Lepisosteus oculatus: one gene and its partner. The protein of the gene in region 1 interacts with the protein of each later gene in a pairwise test. Links are inferred from orthologs where the notes say so. Each region holds a gene or a part of one and is shown on either strand. Other genes may lie near its edges.

The links. The genes of interacting proteins can lie anywhere in the genome.
Region 2: the proteins of rtn1a (region 1) and ugcg interact in a two-hybrid assay, tested with the Homo sapiens proteins (2 studies listed by BioGRID and IntAct). The link is inferred for Lepisosteus oculatus from reciprocal best matches to the Homo sapiens genes RTN1 and UGCG.

The regions. Positions count from the first base shown.
Region 1 is NC_090703.1:7,146,659-7,154,203, forward strand, and holds the start of rtn1a (reticulon-1a), read right to left. Parts: upstream 3,054-7,545; 5' UTR 2,870-3,053; coding exon 2,635-2,869; intron 1,869-2,634; exon of another isoform or gene 1,776-1,868; intron 1-1,775. Other genes in the region: lrrc9 (leucine-rich repeat-containing protein 9), read left to right, coding at 5,857-5,913, 6,106-6,324, 6,676-6,816, 7,004-7,067, 7,465-7,535. UniProt on the Homo sapiens protein: Inhibits amyloid precursor protein processing, probably by blocking BACE1 activity.
Region 2 is NC_090698.1:63,931,420-63,938,494, reverse strand, and holds the start of ugcg (ceramide glucosyltransferase), read left to right. Parts: upstream 1-4,069; 5' UTR 4,070-4,230; coding exon 4,231-4,328; intron 4,329-7,075. UniProt on the Homo sapiens protein: Participates in the initial step of the glucosylceramide-based glycosphingolipid/GSL synthetic pathway at the cytosolic surface of the Golgi.

The DNA.
Region 1 (7,545 bases):
GATTTAGTAGGCTGTACAAGGTGCTGCATGTTTTCACATCCCTTTTTCCTCCTCAGTCTTCTGAAGTGGTCAAGTAAGAATGACAAGATTCGTGCTGAGTGAAGGCTATAGTGACTGAAAGCACTAATTTGTGCCATGTTGCTGGAGCTGGACTTATATAAAACATAATGACCTATGCCCACATTAGAACAGTCTAAATCACACGTTTACTAAAAGTTTACTAATTTATCATACTCAATAAAAAAATAATCTATTTTAGATAACCAAATAAAAACAAGTCAAATTTCTCATGACTACATATTTCTTAAAACATGTAACTACAATACATAACAGTGTATGTCATGTCATTTATCAAACCACTTTGGTCATTAACCCTAACCCTACCCAGCAGGAAACAAGCGCAAGGCAGGGTACACCCCAAACGGGGCCCCACTCCATCGCAGCATAACAGCTTAGCCCCCCAAAAAAGATGCCTAAGACTAAGGCTCCCAGCAAGGAATAAGCTAACCGCTTCAGCTACTGGTTTTCATTGATGTCAGGTCCAAACAAACGTACAAACAGACATATGTCAGGGTTGGGTAATTCAACATGCCCACTATGTGTACCTTTATTTCGGTGCCAGGTGAAGAAGGCTGGCATCATCCCTGCTGTTTCTGTCAGCTAGTGCTTTTGTCCGACTATTTTCTGGGAGAACAACAGCAAAGGCACTACACTCCTCTTCTGAGCAAAACAATTAAAATAATCCTTTTCTGCAAAGGAGGAAACTGTGGGAGGCTACTACTTCCTCCTGTGTTTGGATATTTGCAGAGCTCCGGAAGATCTCTCCACTATTATGAGCTCTCTGTCCTTTGACCTGATATATTTCCAAACACCAAAATATTTACCCAAGAGTCCCAGCCTCCTTGCTGCCCTTTCCCATTCCCTGTCTCACAGAAGACAAGGGGGGCTGTGACACAGCTACATCAACTTTTCCATTTGCTTGCATATTTTATCTGTACTAGCACTGGGACTGAGGACTGCGGATGTGCGTGCCATTTTTAAAGCTTCCTCTTTAATAATTTCTTGACCTTCTTAGAAAAATGAAAGCCACAGGACTGCGATTTCAAAGAATTGTGAAATTAAGAAAACTAAAATGAAGGAAGATGACACGGGGACCTGAAAAAATCTACAGGACTTCATTCAAGAATATACTGTGCTATATGTGACTGAATAATTCAAAGGGATTCGGTTAATGCACTTTAAAAGCTCCTGTTCCTTTTATTTGTGATGCAGATCCTCATAGAACAAAACAAGCTCTGGTTTAAAAACGGAGACATTTCTTTAGAAACCTTTATTGTTAGTTTTTGTCAGTTGGTTCATTGTGCCCACATCATAGATGAACAAACTTAGCAAATGACTGGGCTTGTAAAATTAAAAAAAAAAACGTTGATGTCACATCATCTTTTCTGCAGCTATTTGCCACTCAGGAATGGGATGTTAATTAAAAGGCACTTCTTAATGCACACTGGAAGCCCAGGTCTGACGAACCGGGTCCCGACACGCCGAGTGTCTCTGACCGACCTGTGAGCCTTTAAAATGATAATCCAGGTTCATAATAAAAGGCCAATCCTTTTTTAAAATGAGGAGAGCTGCGTCCGACTGACCGTCAAGAACTTTCCACCCTCTGGCAGGGCCGCTACTCTAAGGAACCTCCTATCCAAACCCGGGCTGCAAGCTCACACAATAAGCCGAGAAACCACGCTCACACACGCCCTGCCACGCACAACTGGACTCACTGCATCCGTTCCCTTCAAAATCTCGCAGGACGCCGCAAATCCGTGTCACCTCGCCGTGGGAAAACTTTCCCTCCCCGCCCCCGACAGGCGAAAACTAAAGATCTTGAGGTGGCACGACGCAAACACAATTATGATGATGATTTATTGTGAGCAGCCGTCTGCATTTCCACATCACTGAGTGATAACTCGAGCTTGAAGAAAAGACAAATACAAACATTATTAATAATCGTGTTTAGGCCACGATTATTAGTCATCATATTTTCTCTCCCTGTATCCGTTTACCTCACAGATTCCAATACTAATGGAGGTTTGAGAATATCTGAGAAAAACGCGGTCTGAAATGCAACGGAAAACTGCTGACACCTTAAATAAGAAACTTTGTTATACGGTGAAAACACCGCAACTTTACGATTTTTTTTTTTTGCCGTGACGGGCTAGACCCACCACCTTAAATCGTGAAACTTACTGGAGAGCACGACAGCCATTTTCTAAAAAGACTTTCTAAAAAAATCAAACATTCCCTTTCTGTTTCGAAAACGCAAGCCGCATTTCTCCTGACTAAAAATACTCAACGCGACGGTACGATTCAAGTGCGGACGAGTTAACTTTTACGAAATAACGTTAGCGCCATAAAACAGCTCCTCTATTAGACAAGAGGTGCCCGGGCGAATGTCTTTTGTTCACTTTTTTAACTTCCCTAGGAAGAATGCCTGCTGTAGATCCGTGTCATATTTAACATTAAAATATAAAGGCCATTGAAAAACTCAACTACACACACATATATATATATACCACACATTGCACTGTCCGGCTAATTGGCTTTGAGCACGTAGTATGTTTTCCTGCATCCAGCCTTTACCTGTAGATGCAGTTTCCATGGCAACAAGGGGTTGTTGCCGGCTGCCGTCAGGTTGCTGTGGCTGTTTCTGCTCGCTGGCATCATCCTTCCAGATCTCCTGCTTCTGGTCCACCCCCGGGTCCGCACCCGCCCCGCCGAACCGGGGCACGGTCCCCCCGCAGCGGTCGGGCTGGTCGAGGTCCTCCCCGAACCACGTCCCCTCCGAACCAGGCTCCTCGCTGGGCTTCGCAGACATGCCGGCTTGGTGGGGTGTGTGTGTGAGACCTCACAACGAAGAAAAGAGCTGGGTCGAGGACGGACGGACGGACGGACGGGAGGGAGAGGAGGAGGAGGAGGAAGAGGGGGAGGAAAAAAAATAAATCACTCTGCCGAAACGGGTGCCGCACGCCAGCAGTTGTTAGTGAATGTCTTAGCGCTGGTTTGCACTCTACTCGAGCATTACGCATGTGAAAATGGCTTGTTTAGTTCAGTGTTTCGACACTGACGTCACCCTATCTGTGGCTTATGGTAGGCACGGATTTAGGACGGAAAGTAACAGTCTGTTAACCGTTTGGCGTAAGGAGAGCCGTGCGCTGTGTTGCACTGCTGCATCTGGAGAGGATGGAGCCGATCGAATTAAGAGTTCTCTCCTTGGGTCGAAGTCTTTCTGCAAGTTACCTCAAACCGCTTTATATGCGTGTGGGCTAACTGCATTTTAATCGTTTTTCTTTAAAAAAAAACAACAACAACCCCAAGTTCCATTCACAACTGTATGGATGTGGTATTGTTAGAAGTAAAAAAAAAAAAGGTGATGGGCGCAGAACAGATATGTGACGACAACTTTATCATCTCCTCCCGATATAAGCAGGCTTATAAAAAAAAACTGAAACGCGTTAACTGTGAGTTTCGATTCGGAGGCAGGCGGCAAATATGATGTGTGCTGGGATCGGAAGTCGTCGTAGTTATTTAATTTAAAAAATCATTGAAATGACGAAGGTCTGGTTTTCTGTATTGAAGAGTAACCAAGAAATAAGTCGGAATTTCAAAGCATAGCCGAGAACCCGTGTTGCGGGGTTCCTTAGAGATGCGCACGAACTTTTTCATGCAGATTTCCAGAAACGTAGCTGGAATTTGCCGGAAAGCCCAGCTCCCTTTTTCCAGCAATTTTTGGGTGTGTGCTCGTGATTGCATGGGACGATGCAAGCTCTACAGCGGCATCTTGTGGGGATCGAAGATAACAGCTGGGAAATTCATGTTTGTACACTCTGTAGGGAGCCTACTGGACTCCACATGGGCCCTCAAACAGCTAGTCTCAGTTGAGTGTTTTGTTTTTACATTTGCACGGGAGCATCTCACCTGAGGAGAGCAGTCAAGCCCAAATCTCACAGACGTCTCAAAATACTGTACCGTATTCCCCCTCGCCCAAAAGATTTTGTCTCTGTGTATTTTACCAACAGCAAAATCAAAAGACAAAACAACGTAAACATTCCACACAGACTCACAAAAATACCACTGCGGGTTTGCGCCCGATCACTTTTAATACTGTTACATAAACATTGCTGGTAGATAAAATGCTTAGTCTGTAACAGAAGAGAGCAAATACTCCAATACAAAATACTTCCAATATATTTGACAGGGGCCGTGAAATGCTGCAGCCATTAAAGTAATTATATCTGGTTTTAGTTGGAAACTTCATTTATTGGTTATTGAGCAAATATCTGGGAAACTTCAATCATGTTTCTTACATAAAAATAGAATTGTTGTGTAATTATATGCTTTTAATAATACGTACACCGAAACTTAATTGTCAATGATACTTAACAGTGGCAAACACTTTCACTTACTGGCACTGTGAGTAATGATAAACTAAAGAAAGAAAACCACCCCCCAACCTGAACAAGTAAACAGCGCATACCGCTGGTCTGTCACGAATTGTCTCTTATTGAGGATTCAAGATGGCTCCCGAGCAACGGGGACGCACAGGTTCCTTGGAAACGGCGTAAATAATTACAACTACCAGAAATGCAACACAAAAGAGCTGTTTTCAATGTATTTAAGAAAACGGAGTAAATACTAACTGCAATTTCAAAAAGGGTAAGCATTCCTCTGTAATTTTTCTAAATAATGTAATAGCTACTAAACATTTAGAACTTGACCAGGTATAGCCGTAGCAATATCAAGGCAGTTTACATTACTTTGCCTGGGTTATAAAGTCATATGTTTTTATGTCCATTTATTAGCTTTAAATCTCCAGAAATTAAGACGGAACATTCTTAGCTACTTTCTGTCCACATCTTGCTAGTTAGCTACACATTCCGCTTTAGTACACTACGTTTTCAAGTACAGTTTGGCGAATAATACTGGTAATATAAGCATCGCCGATTTTTTTAAAGGTACACTAATTTGCAAAGTGGGTATTCGTGACCAGCTTTTATCAGTTTCCCCCCAAAATAAACGGGTCAGTGGATTCATTTGTTTGCCTTTTTTCAGTTTTAAAGTAGATCCTCTTGTCCGCTTTAAATAAAAATGAGAACAAAGAAACAGAGAGCAGGGGAATCCAGTTGTCCTGAGTGCAAACTAAAACTGCTGAAGAGAATAATGAAATAAGGTGCAGGAGTATTGTGAAATTGTGAATACTGCATTGCACTGTGGGGTAGCCTAAGTGGAACTGAGCAAAGCAATGAGTGAAGTCTAAGAGCCTGGGGACACAATAAGAGATTGAAACAATGTAGAGCCAATTGCTTCAGTGTGTACCGCACAATGGCCCTGCTCAAATGCCACCCCGACAGAACCAGCCTGTGCAAGACAGGATGAAGCACAGTGGGGATGGGGCATTCGTCCACAGTTCTTCCTTTTGCTTTGTCCTCTGTTTGGGCTGGTCAGTGATGCAGGAAAAATAAATCAAAATATGAATAAAAGGTTTTGAAGTCTTTTACAATCCATACAGGAAAGGGCTCCAAGAAGCAGAAGGTTCAGCCCCTAATGACAAAATTGGGAGGAAAATCAAAAAAATAGAATGATCATCTGAGTTAAACAGATTTTGAGATTCTTTTTTGTTTCTGAGGCTTAAATAATGTATCTCGCAGGGTTAAAAGTTGTGTGACAACGTGAAGGTTATTTTCCTTTTCTAGAAACCTTTTCCAAAGTTTCTTAGACTTTTTGTACTGTGGCTTTTGCATTTCCAGCTCCGTCATGTTGTAACTGCCCTCCCATCAAAGTGTTCCAAGCGGGGAGGACAAAAGTATGACACAAAATGACAAGCAAAAAGCAAATGGAGATGAAGAAGTCATCAAAGAGCTGGTGAGGCAGAGTTGTTTTCTATACTTTGCAGTAACTCTGGCATCTGTTTCCCGTGCCTTTGCGAAAACATGCAGTCGCGCAGGGTTCCACTCCTGGGAAGCTGTTTGGGATGGTCCTCGGCGTGAGAGTACACATTCAGCTTATGTCGAGTCACTGGATCTGACCAAACTGGGCTGCTCCTGTCATTCACAGTGTGCCGCCAATGGGCTGTCCTATGAAAAGGTGTCCGCGGAAGGGGGCAATGTCCTGGCTCTGGAGATGTTCTTCTCGGGGTACCCCCGCATGGTGGGGCTTCACCTCTTCCCCCGCCTGTCCCAGCTGACTGTCGTGGGGCAGGGCGTGGGGAGGATTGAGGGCCTGGACTCTTGCCCCCTGCTCCAGGAGCTGTGGATCGTTGAATGTCAGCTGACTGTGAGACGATTCAATTTTTTTTCCTGTTTTTTTTAATGCCTCTAGTTTTTAAGTATATTACTGTCGGCGCCAAAACGGATGGAGATCAGCCGTGGAATGAAGCACTGACTTTGTCAGACGCACCTTGTAGGCTTAGTGCAAAAAAATATATGTTTTGTACTTGATCAGAATCCTAACAAGCAAGTAAACAGGCATGGTAATTCTACTGCCGCCATTGTAAGACCAGTCACTCTGTTTGTACATCAGATATTGTTCATTTCTTATCTGCAAGGACAAGCGTTCTGTGTGTGTTACAAAATTCTAACTAAACGCTTTCGTGATTCACTCCTTTTTGTCTTTGTTTCCACAAAGGAGATTGGTGGCCTCCAAGCCTGTCTGCAGTTAAAGAAGCTCTTCCTATACGACAATAAAATCACTAAGATTGGGAACTTGGAGATGCTGGAGAACCTAGAGGTTCTTTGGCTGAACAACAACCTTATCACTGTTATTGAGGTATCCCACACCTTGGCACCTTTATTTGTTATTGTACTTCTACTGATAATTTTCCACAAAAATACAAATTAAATTATTTTTTCTTGTGGAAATGGTTACGTTTTGCCACTTAAGACAAATAATAAAAAAATCTCCTTCTTTACATGCACGTTGCTAACTTTTTTTCCTCCATGTTGTTTGTTTACAGGGACTAAATACACTCAAAAATTTGAGAGAGCTGAATGTTGCTGGCAATGCAATTGAGAAAATTGGTATGTTATGAACAATAAATTATACATTTATATTGTAGTGCTTCACTATTTGTTGTTCAGACTTTTACAATTAATCTATGGATGTAAGAAATACAAATGAGCAGTATGTTCACGTTTTAAATTATCTTTACAGTTTGAGTATACGTTCAATGATTTATATTCATATTGTATAAATCAGTTTTATTTGGACAACCATTACTAATTAGGATACTGATACTCTCAAATAAAGATTTTTGCTAGAAAACTAGCATTTGGTTAGAAGTTTGCCACCAGTGAGAGAAAGAAAAAAGTGCTAGAAAGTAATAGTTTCAATCTATTTTCATATATTAGAAGGATTATGAAACATCTTCTATATACTGTACCTTGTAGCTCATAAAAATACTTTACATTTTTTCAGGATGTTGCCTTGATCCTAACGTTGCTCTTGAAACATTGAACCTATCTGGAAACAGAATCAGCTCGTTTAAGGTCTGCTTTT
Region 2 (7,075 bases), on another chromosome or scaffold:
GTGTTCCTTGCTATTTTGGGTGAAGGTACTTATATGAGTCCTTTGTGAATAAAGCCTTTCTAAAGAGTGAAATCTTTACTTGCAATGCCATTTAATTTAAAACCATGGATGTAAATGCTGTACTCTGTGTCTCATAATGGCTTATCTTCATTTGTGCTGTTCAGGTATTTTCACAAGAACTGCATGCTTTTGTGTTTGCAAATATAACATAAAAAAGAACACGATCTGAAATGAATAATAAGATTTTCTGTATAGACCATGTCACAAAATCTTAAATTCATAGGCAATGGTTTTCCCTGTGGGCATTGAATGGGCAAGTAGGCACATCTAATTCATTCTATTATGGAGGGAAATCTGGCCACACTTTGGTCACAGGGAGAATAAAGAGCTTGTTTTCAAGTAATGTTTCAGTTAATGTACAGTATTTTTTTCTAATAAGATAACAGTGTACTATTTATTATTACGAACATAAGAAATGAGAGGGGGTTACCCAGTTGTCATTGCTAACTGATCAAAGGGTCTTGTTATCTTTATCTTATATTTTCTCGAAAAAAGCTCAGAGTAACATCTTACAGTATCCCACAAACCCTTGTGGGTAAAAACTTACATTTCTTCTTAGTTTCCACTTTTGTTATGTGATTACCATTTCTGTGTTGATTCTGAACAAACCCATTTTGGGATTTAAAATACTTTAATCAGGTCATGTCATACACCAGCCAGCAGTTACAGTATATCACTTTGCAGCTCTCAACTGGCTACCTGCTGAAGCTCAGCAGGGCTGAGCCTGGTCAGTTCCTTGCTGGGAGACATCCTGGGAAGCTATGGTTTCTGTGGGAAGTGGTGTTAATGGGACCAGTGGGGGGTGCTCACCCTGCGGTCTGTGTGGCTCCTAATGCCCTGATATAGTGGTGGGGACACTATACTATACTGTACTGTAGTGGGCACTGTCTTATGGATGGAAAGTTAAACTGAGGTCCTGGCTCTCAGTGGTCATTAAAGATCACTGGGCATTTCTCAATAAAAGTAGGGCCTTTTCTGTGGCCTCTGAATTGTCCCCATGTATGATTGGCTTGCACTTACCCTGCGATGGACTGGCACCCTGTTCAGGATGTGCCCTGCCTTGTGCTCGTAGGCTCCGGCTTCCTGTGACACCATATGGTATAGCGCGGATGGCAAATGACATACCATACACCTCTCTTTTCATGATTAAAAAGATTTGTTTCTTTTAGCCTGTCACTAACATTCCTTTATGCCTAGGAATATATCTGGTCACTCTTCTTTGAAGTGTTCAAAGAGCAGCAATTTTAATTTTTGCAATGTTGTGATGAAACTTGTGCATAATATTCTAGAAGACAGTTTCCTAGACATTGTACAATTTTAAGATCAATAAGAAAATAACACATTTTTGACTAAATGCTTAACTTCTAATTATATATTCTAACATATTATTTTCATTTTTAATTGCTTCCCCACAAAACGATACACAAATTGTCAAATACAGCTCAGAGCCCTGTTCCTTCCTGATTCTATTGTCAAGTATTGCAATAAGAATGAACAGTTTTCTGTTCTTAAATGACTCTTGGAGATAAGTGCTTGTGTGTCATTGCATCAGATTGTCACTGCAGTAAGCGGACAATTAAAAAATACGGAGCACAAAAATGTAAACTGTAGAGGAAAATATCCATAGGAGAAATGTCTGATGTACAATTTATTTTCCTTCATTTATCTTCTTGCATTCATTCATTTTCAAACCGCTTCTTCAAATTCAGGGTTGGGGAGGGGGGGCTGAAGCCTATCCCAGCAAGCAATGGGCACAAGACAGGATACAGTGTTAATGGGACAGCAGTCCATCACAATGCATGCAGACACAAACATACACACACACACTCCAGGGCCAGTTTTCCCAGAAGCCTATTAACTTAAAAATATGTTTTTGTTTTTGGATAAACATATTGCCTGATGATGCAGACAATATTTCCACTGTACTTCTAAATAAAATCATACACAGTCATATTCACAAGCTATAACCTCTGCTACTGTTTTGGCATCCAATAATACGTAATACTGTGGAATTTAGCATAGGTGACTTGTGCTCCAGGAGCTGCCAACTGCACACAGAGGAAGATTCAATTTTATTGAGGTCATGGTATAAAGAATGTCATTATTCCTTGACATGCAGCTTTTTACCAAGAGTACATGCCAAACACGAAGGACATTCTCCATTAAAATACATTGATCATTTATGACTTTTTAATGTGCTGGGTAAGGTATTTCACTGTAGGTGCCATGACATCTCACAGCTTGCTTAATGTGCTAACTGACATAATGCTTAAGAACATGAACTGTACCCGCAACATTCCTGTCAGTACAATACAAGCAATGCTTGCAGAAAACAAGCACTGGAGTAGTGGTTAGGGTGTGGGATTTGTGATAGGATGGTTCTGTGGACAAATCGTGGGTGAGGCACTGTCATTGTCCCCATGAATAAGGTACTTCACTCAGTCAACTTCAGTACGATTCCCCAGTTTCTGCATATAATACATCCATTTTCTAACTGCTTTATTTTTTTTTCTTATAAAATATACTTTATTCCGAAAAAAAGGAGACATCTCACGCATGTTAACACTCCACGTAATAAAAACAATGGCGGAACGGCGGCGATTGTCCGTTATCAATCATTGCAAGTGTGGGTGGATTTGCGCTATTATGAGAGTCCCTCCAAACCCTACCACTTGCTGTTGTCCATTAATCCCTGTACAGGGTCCAAAGTCCTTTCCAGCGCTCCCTCGCTGTGGGGAAACCCCATTTGGCAACGTCGCGCTTCATCCTCCTCCTGAGGTCCGCCAGGATCCTCTCCTCCAGCTCCCTTGCTCCCCACTTGACATTGTGCCGGATGAGATTGTTCCTCGTGTCCCACAGGCCTTTTTTTTGTCCCACAGGGACAGCAGCAGCCACATCAGGAACTGTGTCCCCTTGTCTAATCCGGTAGGTGCCAGCCCCTGTTTTATAGAAGAAAGGCTCGGGGGAGCAGAGCCTGAGCCTATCCCTCAAGCAGAGGGCACCAGGCAGGATACACCCTGGATGAGACACCAGTCCATGGTAGAGCACCAACACAGACACATTCACAGCACCAGGGCCAATTTCATAGAATACCAGTATGTTTTTGGACTGTGGAAAGAAATCAGAGCACCCAGAGGAAACCTCTTGCAAACACAGGGAGAACATACAAACTCCACACAGGTAGCAATGCAGGAATTGAACCCAGGGCCTTAGTACTGCTAATCAGAAAAGCAGCAAGGCTAACCATTGCGCCACCGAACCCTAGACGTAAGTCATTTTGGATAAAAGTGTCAGTGTAGTTTAATAAACATTATTTTCCAGGTTAGTTCCTAGTAGATATTTGGAACCAAATAGACTCAATGGGTTGAAGGGCCTTTATTAGCAAAGGTTATTATAATTAACAACTTTTAGTATGTTCTTATGGCTCACACTTACGCGTATTAGACAAAGTTTAAATTAATGACCAACTTCCATATTCATGAGCACTCACAGAAAACATTTTATCTAACACATTCGTCCTAACATTCAGTAGTAAAGAGTGATACCTGAATAGAGGTCCTGTGAAACTCCAGTGATACCTTACAAAAACGTGGAACACACCACGTAACAACGTGTAATAAACACTGCTCATTAAAATGTACTTATGTGACAATCTCATCTCTTCTAAATTTATTGAGCACTCAGGTAAACAAAATAAGCCCTAAATAAGTACTTTGACGTTTTTCAAGTTTTTCTGCAAAAAGTTAACCCTTTCAACGGAACAGTCTTAGTTTCGGGTGTCAGCTTCAACTGCACGGTAAGGTAGGGTGTTCCATCCAGTCACAGGCTTTTTGTTACATTTAGTTTTATTACGTTCGTCTCTCCCCCACCCGCAGCAAGCACAAGCAAGGGCAACACAAAAGCTACACAATTTTACTCGTAAGGGGGCGATAGATCGCTCTCCTCTCAGACCCAGTCTTCCTGACAGCCTCCGAGACCACACCCTTTAAAGCGTTAACGGGGTTCAGTTCAAACGTAAGCGGCATAGGCCTTCCCCCCACGGCTGGGCACGCCCCGTGCTCTGCGTTAGCTCCCCGCAGTGTCGGCGGACCCAAGGTTTCTCTTATTCAGTCGCTTCAGTGCTGCGCTAGCAAGTACCTTAGCCGGGACTTGAGTTCATTAAGTACAGACATGGCACTGCTGGATCTGGCCCTGCAGGGACTCGCTATCTTCGGATTCATCCTTTTCGTCGTTCTGTGGCTCATGCATTTCATGTCCATCATCTATGTGTAAGCCAGGCCCTTTTTTACTTATATATATTTTCCAGTACTTGACTGTGGGTGTGTTGATGTGTTTTTTTTTTTGCCACCTCCGGTGTTCAAGTGTTACAGGCTCGAGTGCGCCGCAAATCTTTTGACTTCAGACCGCCTGACAAAGGCCTGTCTGTACTCTTAGCCGCCAAACTGGTAGTAGGTCCTCGGGGTTTGGGCATTTCGCTTTATTGATTATTCATGGCGAGAATGAAAGAGACCTCATGTATCTTGCAGAACAGCTGACGTTCAAGTGGGGAAGGAAGCGGGGCACGGCAGGGTCAGGGGGAGCTTGGGTCCCCTCAATTTGTGGCAGCTCGCTTTGTGATAAAGAGCCCCTGTCTCGCAGGGCTTCGGCGTCTGGTAGTTGGTAAAACCGTGAAGGCTAATCGTGGCGGAACAGGCAACCGTGCGTTTTGGCTTGTTTACGAAATGCGTTTGAACAATGGACCGGTGCCATAGCGCCGAGCCTGCGGTGTCTCTGCGCTCGGACTTCAGTGTAACCAGGAAACCGGACAGCACGGGCTGTCCAGTCCCATCGCCGTGCAAATCAGGTGCCTGTCAGACTTGCACCAGAGCGAGAGGAGAGGTGTGCTAACACCTAGGGTAGTAAAGCTAAACACCGCAATTGGTGAAAACATCAGAATGGTGCTAGTCTGTTGCTTTTTATTCATCAGCTTTAACAAATATCATTAAGATCTGGTTCTGCTGTGATTACATATTCTCATTCACCTATAGAGGGTAAAGCAAGCGGATGTGCTCGATAGCCGGGTTTCCCTGAGAACACGCCACCCAGATGAAGGTGAATAATAGGGATTTTTCTAATTAACTGGTTAGATTCCCAGCGAAATACTCAGTGATTTTTTTATTGGGGGGGTAAAGCGTCCTTGAAGGATTTATAAGGTCGTTTGCTTAATCCGGCTGTGAAATGTCATTGATAAAGCTGACCCGGTGTTCCGGTGCCGATTGAGTCGAGGCGACATGAGTGCTTAACTGCAAAATATAAATATCTGACGTCTGTAGAATTACGGGAATTAAATTTCCATATTCTCTATATTTATTTCCATACGTACAGCACCCACCCCAAGCAATTTCTGGTCTGACAACTCAGTGCGTCATTATAGATAACCGACATGTTTTCATTTATGCCATCGGAACATTTAAGATGTTCGTCAAAGTAGTAGTCTAGCAGTAGGCTGGTGTGTTTTGCAGTTCCTGGCTTTTGATTCTGACGTCGATCAGCTCTTAGGCTTTTACTCATGACAATGTCATGTGAGCCCAGCTGATCTCCAGGAATTCCACTACCCACTGTCTTGCTGTAATCTAAGAGATATCGCACTGTGTTGAAATTAAAAACAATAAGAAAATGTTTCCGTTGAAGGAGTAAAAATGTGTGTGACTTTCACTCCCCCAACCCCCTCACGAAGGTTTTGAAATTTCCAGAGGACGTGACTCGTTTTGATACAGTAGTCTTTGCTCAACCTGTTTTTGCCTGAGAAACAGTGCACTTTACATGTTTTCTTGAGATGTGTAGAGTGCTCGGTAAATGTCGTGACTGTTTGCTTTGAAAGGCTACTCAGCTGATCATTTTGTTTCTATTCGGTACACTATCAATTACTCCGAAACTTTTTCCTACACAGGCAGAATCCAGTTAGTTCTTAGTGTCTTCATATGTGGGGGTTTGTACATCTACCACAGAGTTCAAAGAAACACTTTGAAGACACAGGAAAATTATGCATTTTTCCCCCTCTGGTATAGCCTCAAAACAAATTCTTTCCTGTCACTTTTTAGCAGTAAGTAATTAGTCTTTCTTTTTCACATGGTGCAGTTGGCCTCTTCCCTAGTAGTTATAGGTTGGGAGTGAATTCTGTCAAGTCCCTTTCTCCAAGTGCTTGGCAAGCAGAACATAAATACAGTATATGAATTGGAGGTTTCCTTTTTTAGCTGCTGTTTGCAAGTAGGTGGACTGCATTGCAAGCCTGGACTGTTCATTTCAAACAGCCCCAGTGAAACGCGATATCTGAGCACTTATGATGCATTAGCTGCTGCATACTGCATTATAGCCATCACCGTCTTGAAATTAAGCCCCTCGTTATGTACATCCGAATTGCCGTTTCAGATGAGGAGAGCCTAAATTTCATGCCGTGCTGAAGTATTTTGAAAAGTAAAAGGGCACGCAGAATGACGCTGATCTGATTTCCGTGACTTACATTTCTTCTTTTTTCTTAACTCACTGGATTAAAAGGGACCGTAATGTAACCATTCATGTGTCACTGTAAGGTAATTCACGGCAACCCGTTTTTAATGCAACCCTGAAATTTAAGGCACCCATGATAGAGTCCAGCCATGGTAGAGTTAGAGCCGTTTCCCGCGTGGGAGGAACTCATTGCCTCTCATGCTTTTGCTAGGCTTCTATGTCGCTCGCAATGCAGTGACAGCCGGGTTACCTGATAGTTTCTGAGTGGGAGGAATTTTGGACTGGCTTTAAATGGGCTCTTGAATGCAACTTTTTTTGTCTGTCTCTAACTGCCCCGGACTTTAAGGCCTCCTCCCACCTTTTGCTACTTTGTCGTTCTCCCTCGTCGTTGGGCACTTATGCCAAGGTGTCCAGTTCACACTGACCCAAGTGTTGGGAGTCCGTCTTTCCAATTCAAGAACAATATTGACCCAGACTTTCGTATTATTTGCTAAATCAGTCCTTTGTAGCGTTTTTGCAATGTAGTTTT